Saccharomyces cerevisiae S288C: one gene and its partner. Each later gene encodes a partner of the first gene's protein in a complex. Each region holds a gene or a part of one and is shown on either strand. Other genes may lie near its edges. A codon is read from its position in the direction of its gene.

Region 1 (4,091 bases):
CATGCCAGTAAAACGGATATTTGACACATTTCCGTTACAAACATATGCTGCGCAGACTGACAAGGACGAGGCCGTTGCATTAGAAATACAGCGGAGGTCCTACACATTCACAGAACGCGGTGGTGGAAGCTCTGAGTTGACTGTGGAGGGGACGTACAAGCTAGGTGTTTACAACGTTTTTTTGGAGGCAAATACAGGGGCGGCATTGGCCACAGATCCATGGTGTCTGTTTGTTCAGCTTGCGCTGTGTCAAAAGAATGGTCTAGTCTTACCCACGCACTCGCAGGAACAAACCCCATCGCATACCTGTAACCATGAAATGCTCGTTCTGTCCCGTCTTTCTAACCCCGATGAGGCCCTACCTATTCTAGTTGAGGGTTACAAGAAGAGAATTATAAGATCCACCGTGGCAATCAGCGAAATTATGAGGTCTCGGATACTTGATGATGCTGAGCAGTTGATGTACTATACGTTGCTGGATACCGTGCTGTACGATTGTTGGATCACGCAAATAATTTTCTGTGCCTCAGATGCGCAATTCATGGAATTGTACTCTTGCCAGAAGTTAAGTGGTTCGATAGTCACTCCATTGGACGTAGAAAACTCTTTATTACAGAAGTTGTCCGCAAAGAGTTTGAAGATATCCCTAACAAAGCGGAACAAGTTCCAGTTCCGCCATCGAGAAATCGTCAAGAGTATGCAAGGAGTTTATCACAACCATCACAACTCCGTTAATCAAGAGCAGGTCTTGAACGTTTTGTTCGAGAATAGCAAGCAAGTTCTTTTAGGTTTAAAAGATATGTTGAAAAGCGACGGGCAACCCACTTACTTACATCTGAAAATTGCAAGTTACATTCTTTGTATAACGAACGTTAAGGAACCCATAAAGCTAAAGACATTTGTTGAAAACGAATGTAAAGAATTGGTCCAGTTTGCACAAGACACCCTGAAGAACTTCGTTCAGTAATCACTTTCAAGCTGTAGTATGTAAACGATATAGATGAAGTTTTCGTGTGTATAAATATATGAACTCTAGAGTGTTGCATAATTTGAAACACAGCATTTCTTTTCGGAGAGCTCGTTTCAAAATGAAACAAACGCCGTTGTCCGTTTTCGTCTCAATAGAAAAAGTGAAACAGATAAAAATTGTTTTAAAAGAAACGAATTTGCAACATCTTAAGATATATCAAAACTAATACAAAACAGCCTAAAAAAGATTGAACAACTCTTCGCGGTCAGGTCTCGACACCATAAATCGAAGTACTCGTACGCTAGTTTTCTCGCACATAGTACCACTACGTTCCTTTTACAATTAGATTACTTCTTTTTAGTTGACTTTTTTGAGACGTTCGTGCCATTCATAAAATAGGAAAAGATAACAGGTAAGCACTGAAGACTTGTTTTATAAGTGTCCCAAGCGAGACCTAGAGTGGATATTGATATTTCTCAAACAAGACTCGTCGAAGAAAACACACTTTTATAGCGGAACCGCTTTCTTTATTTGAATTGTCTTGTTCACCAAGGATGAAAGTCCAAATAACCAATAGTAGAACAGAGGAAATCTTAAAAGTTCAAGCTAATAATGAAAACGATGAAGTCAGTAAAGCTACTCCGGGCGAAGTTGAAGAATCGCTAAGGTTAATCGGCGATCTAAAATTCTTTTTAGCCACAGCGCCGGTAAATTGGCAAGAAAACCAAATTATAAGGCGATACTATCTGAATAGTGGACAAGGCTTTGTCTCTTGTGTATTTTGGAACAATCTATACTATATTACAGGTACTGATATTGTCAAATGTTGTCTTTACAGAATGCAAAAGTTTGGGAGAGAAGTAGTTCAAAAGAAAAAATTTGAAGAGGGTATTTTTTCAGATTTAAGAAATCTCAAATGTGGTATAGATGCAACTTTAGAACAACCAAAGTCCGAATTTTTGTCGTTTCTATTCAGAAATATGTGTCTGAAAACCCAAAAAAAGCAGAAAGTATTTTTTTGGTTCAGTGTAGCACATGATAAGTTGTTTGCGGATGCGTTGGAAAGAGATTTAAAAAGAGAAAGTTTGAATCAGCCTTCAACGACTAAGCCCGTTAATGAGCCCGCCTTATCTTTTTCATATGATTCCTCATCTGATAAGCCTCTCTACGATCAGTTACTTCAACATTTAGATTCTAGAAGACCATCTAGTACAACAAAATCAGATAATTCGCCTCCAAAATTAGAAAGCGAGAATTTTAAGGATAATGAGTTGGTAACAGTAACTAATCAGCCGCTTTTAGGCGTTGGCCTCATGGATGACGATGCGCCAGAATCCCCCTCTCAAATTAATGATTTTATTCCTCAGAAATTGATTATAGAACCCAATACTCTCGAATTGAATGGTCTCACAGAAGAAACGCCTCATGACTTACCCAAGAATACCGCTAAGGGCAGAGACGAAGAAGATTTTCCTCTCGACTATTTTCCTGTATCTGTTGAATACCCTACGGAGGAAAATGCGTTTGATCCGTTCCCTCCACAGGCTTTTACGCCAGCTGCCCCTTCCATGCCTATTTCCTATGATAACGTGAATGAAAGGGATTCTATGCCCGTTAATTCTCTTCTTAATAGATACCCCTATCAGTTATCAGTGGCACCCACTTTCCCAGTGCCACCATCATCATCGAGGCAACATTTTATGACAAATCGGGATTTTTATTCATCTAACAATAACAAGGAAAAATTGGTATCTCCTAGCGACCCTACCAGCTACATGAAGTATGACGAACCAGTTATGGATTTTGATGAATCTCGGCCAAATGAAAACTGTACAAATGCAAAATCTCACAACTCTGGCCAGCAAACTAAACAACACCAATTATATTCTAACAACTTCCAGCAATCTTACCCAAACGGAATGGTTCCAGGATACTACCCAAAAATGCCGTATAATCCCATGGGGGGGGATCCTCTACTCGATCAAGCCTTTTATGGCGCGGACGATTTTTTCTTTCCACCAGAAGGATGTGATAACAATATGCTGTATCCACAAACTGCAACTTCATGGAATGTTTTGCCCCCTCAAGCTATGCAACCAGCTCCAACCTATGTTGGGAGACCATACACACCGAATTATAGATCGACACCAGGTTCCGCGATGTTCCCATACATGCAAAGTTCAAATTCCATGCAGTGGAACACTGCTGTTTCACCTTATAGTTCGAGAGCACCATCTACAACTGCTAAAAACTATCCTCCTAGCACATTTTATTCTCAAAATATAAATCAATACCCACGGCGAAGAACTGTGGGAATGAAGTCTTCACAAGGAAATGTTCCAACAGGTAATAAACAATCTGTGGGCAAGTCTGCAAAAATTTCAAAGCCTCTACATATTAAGACAAGTGCTTATCAGAAGCAATACAAAATCAACTTGGAAACGAAAGCCAGGCCAAGTGCTGGTGACGAAGATTCTGCTCATCCTGATAAGAACAAAGAAATTTCGATGCCTACTCCGGATTCCAATACTTTGGTGGTCCAGTCAGAAGAAGGTGGAGCTCATTCACTTGAGGTAGATACCAATCGAAGGTCCGATAAAAACCTTCCAGATGCAACCTGATATAATATAATTTTTGAATTTATGATACAAGAATTAAAAATGCGGGCCAGAATTTAATATTAAACAATACTCAGAAGAAAACAACAAGGACAATCTGTTTTTATAAATAAAACAATCTTATACAAGACTAGAGCAAACAAAAAGCAAGAAAAAAAGGTAATAAATGTAACAAATCTATTAACGTTAGAAAATAACAAAAAAAAAAAAAGAAAAAGATAATATAATATAATACCTTTATATATGTGATTTATCTAGCGTCACAGTATGTAATATAAATATCAATGAGTTTCTTAACATGACCTCCAAAACTACATGATCGCTTAGTATTACAATATGTGTTTATCCACTATTTTGATACCAACGTAGTATTGCCTTTTATTTTTCAGAATGGCAAAGGCCATCGGAAAATTTTTCCACCAGAAAAAGCGAGATTCCTAATTATAAGGTGAAGGCATCGATGTTCATAATAGTTAAAAGTTGTAATCAAAAAAGAAAAAGGT
Region 2 (5,704 bases), on another chromosome or scaffold:
GGTTCCGGAACTGAATCCAGTACTGCCTCTTCTAACGCTTCGGGGTCTTCTTCCAAGTCTAACTCCGGCTCTTCTGGTTCTTCCAGTTCTTCTTCTTCTTCTTCAGCTTCATCTTCATCTTCTAGCAAGAAGAATGCTGCCACCAACGTTAAAGCTAACTTAGCACAAGTGGTCTTTACCTCCATCATTTCCTTATCCATTGCCGCTGGTGTCGGTTTTGCTTTGGTTTAAAAAGCTTCGACACATACATAATAACTCGATAAGGTATGGTATCTTATTTCATTGTGGGGTAGTTTTTACGAAAAAAATGAAAAGTTGTAAGTATAGTATATATTTTTTTTCTATGTAAGTTTTATAAGATTCTATTCGCTATTACCACCGGTAAATTAAAAAGAACACTATTGTTACATTATATGTTTTTAAATCATCAAAAAAGACAATATTCATTTAATATTCCTTATAGAACTACTTAACATTGTTCTTCTTTCTATTAAACGTCTTTATGCAAACCATTTATGTACTTTCTCCATAATATCAGCTGGATATCTATTGAAAATTGCCATAGCATCACTAGAAGGCAAAAATCCCAACAACTTTTTAACTGAACTTATCACCGTTTGGCCTTCCCTTTCGGTCAAACTTCTCTCATTCAAGGCTTGTATGACTGAATCAACTACAGCGGAGATATTAGATTGAGCACACACAATTGGCGAATTATTTTCAATCAATTGACTCAAAAATTGATAGTTGAATGAGGCAGCTTCTTTGTCAGTTATTGTTGGTAACGTTTTGAACCAATTAGCCGTGTACGTGTCTACGTTAGGAATGTTGGAATTGTATGCATAAAGAATTTTGGCGATGGCTGCACTGGCATTCTCTGTTGAAGAACGATTTTCTTCCAGTTTGGAGCCTGGAAAATCGACAATCTGAACAAGTGTATCTAAAGTCGGTATGCAAACGTCAGCATATGTAGATGGAGCGTATTGGGCACAAACACCGATTATATAAGAAGCAGCTTGGCGAATACGAGCGTCAGGAGAAATCAAGCACTCGGTAACCTTTGGAATAAATGCGTTCTTCATGCTAGCAGTTTGTTCGCCACCATATTGAATCAAGTCACCAATCACTACTAATGCAAAAATGACTAAAATTGGTTCATTATCTAAAAGGAATGTGTTTATCATAGGCCATATATTCTCCAAATTCTTTAGATAATGACCATTTGTGGTTTTCAAAACGGCCGCGATAGACTTGTTGATTTCATCGAGAAGATCTTCGTCAGTAAAGTCTTCCTCTTCATCAATATTTTCATTATATTCATCACCATCACCATGGCGATCCTGCATCCTTTCGTAAGTGTCAGTTAAGTTGGCGGAGACACCCTTAGTAAATGCCGCTAATTGGTCTTCGCTTAAGCAATTGTCACCCATGACTTTAATACCATTCACTAACGAGTTGTGATAAACTTGCGTGATTTCTGGCATTGGTTCTGACATTAAGCCTCCGATTAGTTTAGACGAAGCTTTATGCCACAACAATACCAATTCCTCGTTTTGAGTACCGGTGGCTGCAAGTAAACAAGATAATAGAATAGGAATTAAAGTTGCTCCTGCAGCACGAACACCGTCATGTAGGTAAAAGTCAAGCGATGGTAGAGCTATTTCTTCCATTACTTCTTTAACATATACAGCAAATTGGCCTCTTAAAAGTGTCGCATAGCTTTGTAATAGCTCCATTGCTGATACTTTATCGTCAAGGACGGATGTGTGAATAGCAATGTGTTTTCCCTGAACTTGAACAACATCCCAATCTGGATATTGTTGGAAATTTGCTGCTTCTTCTTCTTCAATTAAACCGACGTCTTGCGTTGCTTTGGCAGTAATTAGCAGGGGTGGTATAACAATCGGTAACAACGGAACAAAATCATCACCCAGAATTCGGCAAATCCTGCTCCAACTTTGTTCTAAGTATGATCTGAGCGCATCATCTTCATCGATATCTGAGTTTTGTAAAGCGACCAATATAGAAATCAGCTCTTGAGAGTGCTCATGAAATTTTTCCTTACCAACGGCAAAACCAATCAGAGTTGCACATTCCATACATTTACCTTTCAAAACACTATTATCTTTATTGTTAACCTTCAAAACATTTAATAATAATGGCATTAGAGTATCGTAATACTTGATAAATTTATTCTTTGCAGCTTCAGCAATAAATGCAATGGTTGTTAGGGCCTGTTCCTGTACGTAAAGTTTGTTGCTTTGTAATAAAACTAATAAATTTGTCAATAGACTATCCAAGTAAGGCTCAAGAATATCCTTCGAAGCGAATTCAGAAAAGTTAACCAGAGCCGCTGCGGCGTGCGTTTGAACTCTTGAGGTGCATTCTGACGTTAGTTTAGATATTAAAGCCGGCAAAATTCTATCGTGTGCAGTTCTTTGAATGAATGGTGAAAAATCAGTAGATATTTGACCCAAAACATTACAACATCCATACTGTACTCTTGGATGAGGATCGTTGATGAGGGGAATTACCATATCCAGGATTTTTGGGATCTCGCCGATCAGAACATCAGCACAACCCTCAGCTGCAGAGGAAAGTGCCATCATGGCCGCGAATCTTTCTCTCCATTCGGTTGATGTGATCATTTGCTGTAAATATTGGAACAATGGTGCAGCCAAATATTCACCACCCAGCTTTAAAGCAACACGATCAAGAGCTTGACGAGCGTGGTCATATGTAACTTCCTCTTCATCATCGGTATCGTCAGATTCTATCCATTCTGCTGCATCATCATCATCTATGGATACCTCCGTCATCATGATTAAAGTAACCATCACTAAAGTTTGCCCGTAATTCTGGTTCGATTTACACATTTGGGGAGCGTTCTCGCTGAAAACGGTTAGCAGTTCGAGTGCTGTGGTTCTTGCTGGAGGTTCTAAATCCTTATTTTTTATAACCATATCAGTGAATTGTATTATTTGGTCAAACATATCCTTGAATAGTTTTGGTGCCAATTCCACCAACTCAATTAACGATTCAAAAACTGATGCAAGGGCATCGTCCTTACCATCATCTAAAAATCTTGGTAAACTATTCAAAAGACTTGGTAATAAAATACCTAACTTGGACCACTCAGATTTTGGTAGTTGCTTAAAATAACCCACGAAAGCCGTAACTGCAGCAATTTTGACATTATCACTTGCATCAGTAAAGCCTGATTGAAAAATTGGTAAGATACTGTTGATGTCAACAGCGGTAATTAAATAAGGTACAGTCGTCAAAATTCTAAAACTGGATTCTCTAAAATTTGGGTTACCGCTTTTTAAAGACTCTATTAAAGCTTGTAGTAATTCTGGCCATGCTGGTAAGTCGTCTTGAACACACTCAGCAATAGCATCAGATAGTTTGTGCCTAATTGAATCAGCTCTTTCCGACAAAAACCCTTTTAACAATGAAGAACGAATTTGTGCAAGAACTTCTTTCCTAATATGTGTGATATTTTTGGACATAATCATAAGCTTCGAAGAAGGGGGAGCTTTTAATGCTAATTTTCTAAACAGAACAGCAGATAATGCTGCAACTGTTGTATCTTGGGAGAAAGCGGCTTGTTCAGCCAAAAAAGTTAAAAGATACTCAATATTGTTTTCGGTAATCCATTCTTCACTAAGAGCCTTCTCAGCTACAGAACGTATTTGATTGTCAGGGGAAGCAAACGCCTGGACAATCTGAAGTAATGTTCTATTAACTTCTTCCGGTAAAGCAGACATAGCGATGGCTCTAGTTACGGTTGAAATCACGTGTCGTTAGGATAAAGTGGCTTGCAAGCTAATTACTTTTGTTTGGGCTATCTGCCACTTTGATCTACTCAGTCTATTAGCCACTCGGTATCTGAAGAGCGCCGAACTTCGATCACTGTTATAGCTGTCTATAATACTATAGTGATTATTGGACCGTCTGGTATTAGTATTCCCATTTTTTTAGTGAATTTCATTTTTCTTTTTTTCCTGGGTAGAAAATGAAAAATTTTTCAGTTTCTGCAAAGAATTGATATCGTGCGTCATGATGATAATACCGATTTACTGCAGTTCGTACAATTTATTTTTTTTTTTAGAATGTCAAACAGATAGTCCATGATAGGCTATTGGATTATTTATCAACACTCATGATCCATATATTTTGAGATTATATTTGATGAAGAAATAAAGCGGCATATCATACTTTTCTTAAAGTTTAATAGTTTGTATTATATTATAAAGAGTGTTTACGTAACAAAAAAAACTATATATATATTTGCTTATGTGTAATGTACAGTGAAGACGATTAGATTCAAACCCTAAAACTAAAAATAAAGAGATCGCTAAAAGAATCGAAAAAAAAAAAGATGAGCAATATCAAGAATAAAAAGCAAAAGTGAATATGGTTTATACTCTCCTGCTTAGTTTCCTTCTATATTTTTTGGTTGCTGATGTTATTCTTCTATCTACAATGATTTTTTGTTAAGAATGCTTTCGAAGTAGTTTTTGATTTTATTGATCAACGACGATTTGATGGTGGGTTAAGACGTTCTTTAGCGATTTTATATTCTTTGTTCAATTTTACCATTGCTTCTTCCAATTTAGTAATTTCATCACCCTTTTCGACAACAAAGATGGTCTTCTCGTCGTTTAATTTGGCTGGGATTTCCAATTCTGCGATAACAGATTGCAAAACTTCAACCACCTTATTTTCTGGAAGATCAAATAATTCGGCTAGTTTAGCAACAGAAAAACTTGAATAGAACCTCTTGAAAGAAAAGAAATAAGTCTTCAAAGATTCAACTTGTACTCTTTCCGTTAAACTATTCAACACCGTTTCCATGTTTGGTAATAAAGCCCAAGATTTTATTTCTCTTAAGTATTTAACAGAGTCTCTCCAGTTACCTTTTTGCATTGATTTGGCAGCAAACAAGACATAATCTCTTAAAGTTTCTGGTGGACCTTGGAAACTTAACTTGTCGTAATGTTCTAAGGAACGACGAATGGATTTTGGAGAGTAAGGAATTCTCTTGACCTTAATACCGGAATAGAAGGCAGTCATTCTTGGAATTTCGATCAATAAGGAACATGTTAAGAAGACGACATCGATTAAATCGAGATTGATGTGTTGGTGATATGGCAAACATTGTCTAGCACGCTCATCAGCTGAAGCATTGTTACTAGAATTGAGAGATATTCTGTGTAGGGATTGTTGGCCCAAAATTTCTCTTAAGTGAGAACTTGACAGAAGATCATTCAAAATTTGATGACATTCTTCAATCAAACATAATTTAAAGGCGGATAGACCCAATTGAACAACAACCCTGTTGAATAAAATTTGTAGGGATGAATCGAATTGGTTGATATTTGTTTGAACTTGGGAAGTTAGTAACATATCTTTAGCAGTTTGGAAATCTTTGTTTAATGCAGTGTAGTAAATGTTGTATAAAATAGCACGTTTTTGAACAGCAATGTTGTTTTGCTTGGATAAGATTGTCGATAATCCGTCTATTAAATTGTCGACATAATCAGCAGAATCGAGCTGGTCTTTTGAAGTAAATTTAGATTTGAATTGAGCAGGTATGATATTCCAAGCAGCAGTTTCCATAATTTTTATCAAATTTTCGGATTTATAGTAGATATGATCCAATCTCTTGACGAATGGACGTGTCAATGCTCTTTCTAGG

What was found.
Region 2: the proteins of STE12 (region 1) and PSE1 are in contact, whole or in part, in a crystal structure (PDB 3W3W), measured with the Saccharomyces cerevisiae proteins. Residues at the interface, in NP_011952.1 of Saccharomyces cerevisiae: Ala607 (codon at 3,343), Lys608 (codon at 3,346), Ile609 (codon at 3,349), Ser610 (codon at 3,352), Lys611 (codon at 3,355), Pro612 (codon at 3,358), Leu613 (codon at 3,361), His614 (codon at 3,364), Ile615 (codon at 3,367), Lys616 (codon at 3,370); in NP_014039.1 of Saccharomyces cerevisiae: Glu287 (codon at 2,912), Asp346 (codon at 2,735), His347 (codon at 2,732), Arg349 (codon at 2,726), Gln350 (codon at 2,723), Asp353 (codon at 2,714), Arg354 (codon at 2,711), Leu357 (codon at 2,702), Ser392 (codon at 2,597), Ser393 (codon at 2,594), Glu396 (codon at 2,585), Cys429 (codon at 2,486), Asn430 (codon at 2,483), Gly433 (codon at 2,474), Gln434 (codon at 2,471), Asp438 (codon at 2,459), His470 (codon at 2,363), Ala473 (codon at 2,354), Ala474 (codon at 2,351), Val476 (codon at 2,345), Asn477 (codon at 2,342), Glu480 (codon at 2,333), Gln512 (codon at 2,237), Thr515 (codon at 2,228), Lys556 (codon at 2,105).

The regions. Positions count from the first base shown.
Region 1 is NC_001140.6:272,650-276,740, forward strand, and holds STE12 (homeodomain family transcription factor STE12), read left to right. Parts: upstream 1-1,524; coding exon 1,525-3,591; downstream 3,592-4,091. Other genes in the region: SAM complex subunit SAM35, read left to right, coding at 1-967. UniProt on the Saccharomyces cerevisiae protein: Binds to the DNA sequence mediating pheromone induction (called the pheromone response element = PRE) which is found in the upstream control region of several a-, alpha- and haploid-specific genes.
Region 2 is NC_001145.3:888,452-894,155, forward strand, and holds PSE1 (importin PSE1), read right to left. Parts: upstream 3,771-5,704; coding exon 501-3,770; downstream 1-500. Other genes in the region: 1,3-beta-glucanosyltransferase GAS1, read left to right, coding at 1-231; NIP1 (translation initiation factor eIF3 core subunit c), read right to left, coding at 4,537-5,704. UniProt on the Saccharomyces cerevisiae protein: Functions in nuclear protein import as nuclear transport receptor. Serves as receptor for classical and arginine/glycine-rich nuclear localization signals (cNLS and rg-NLS) in cargo substrates.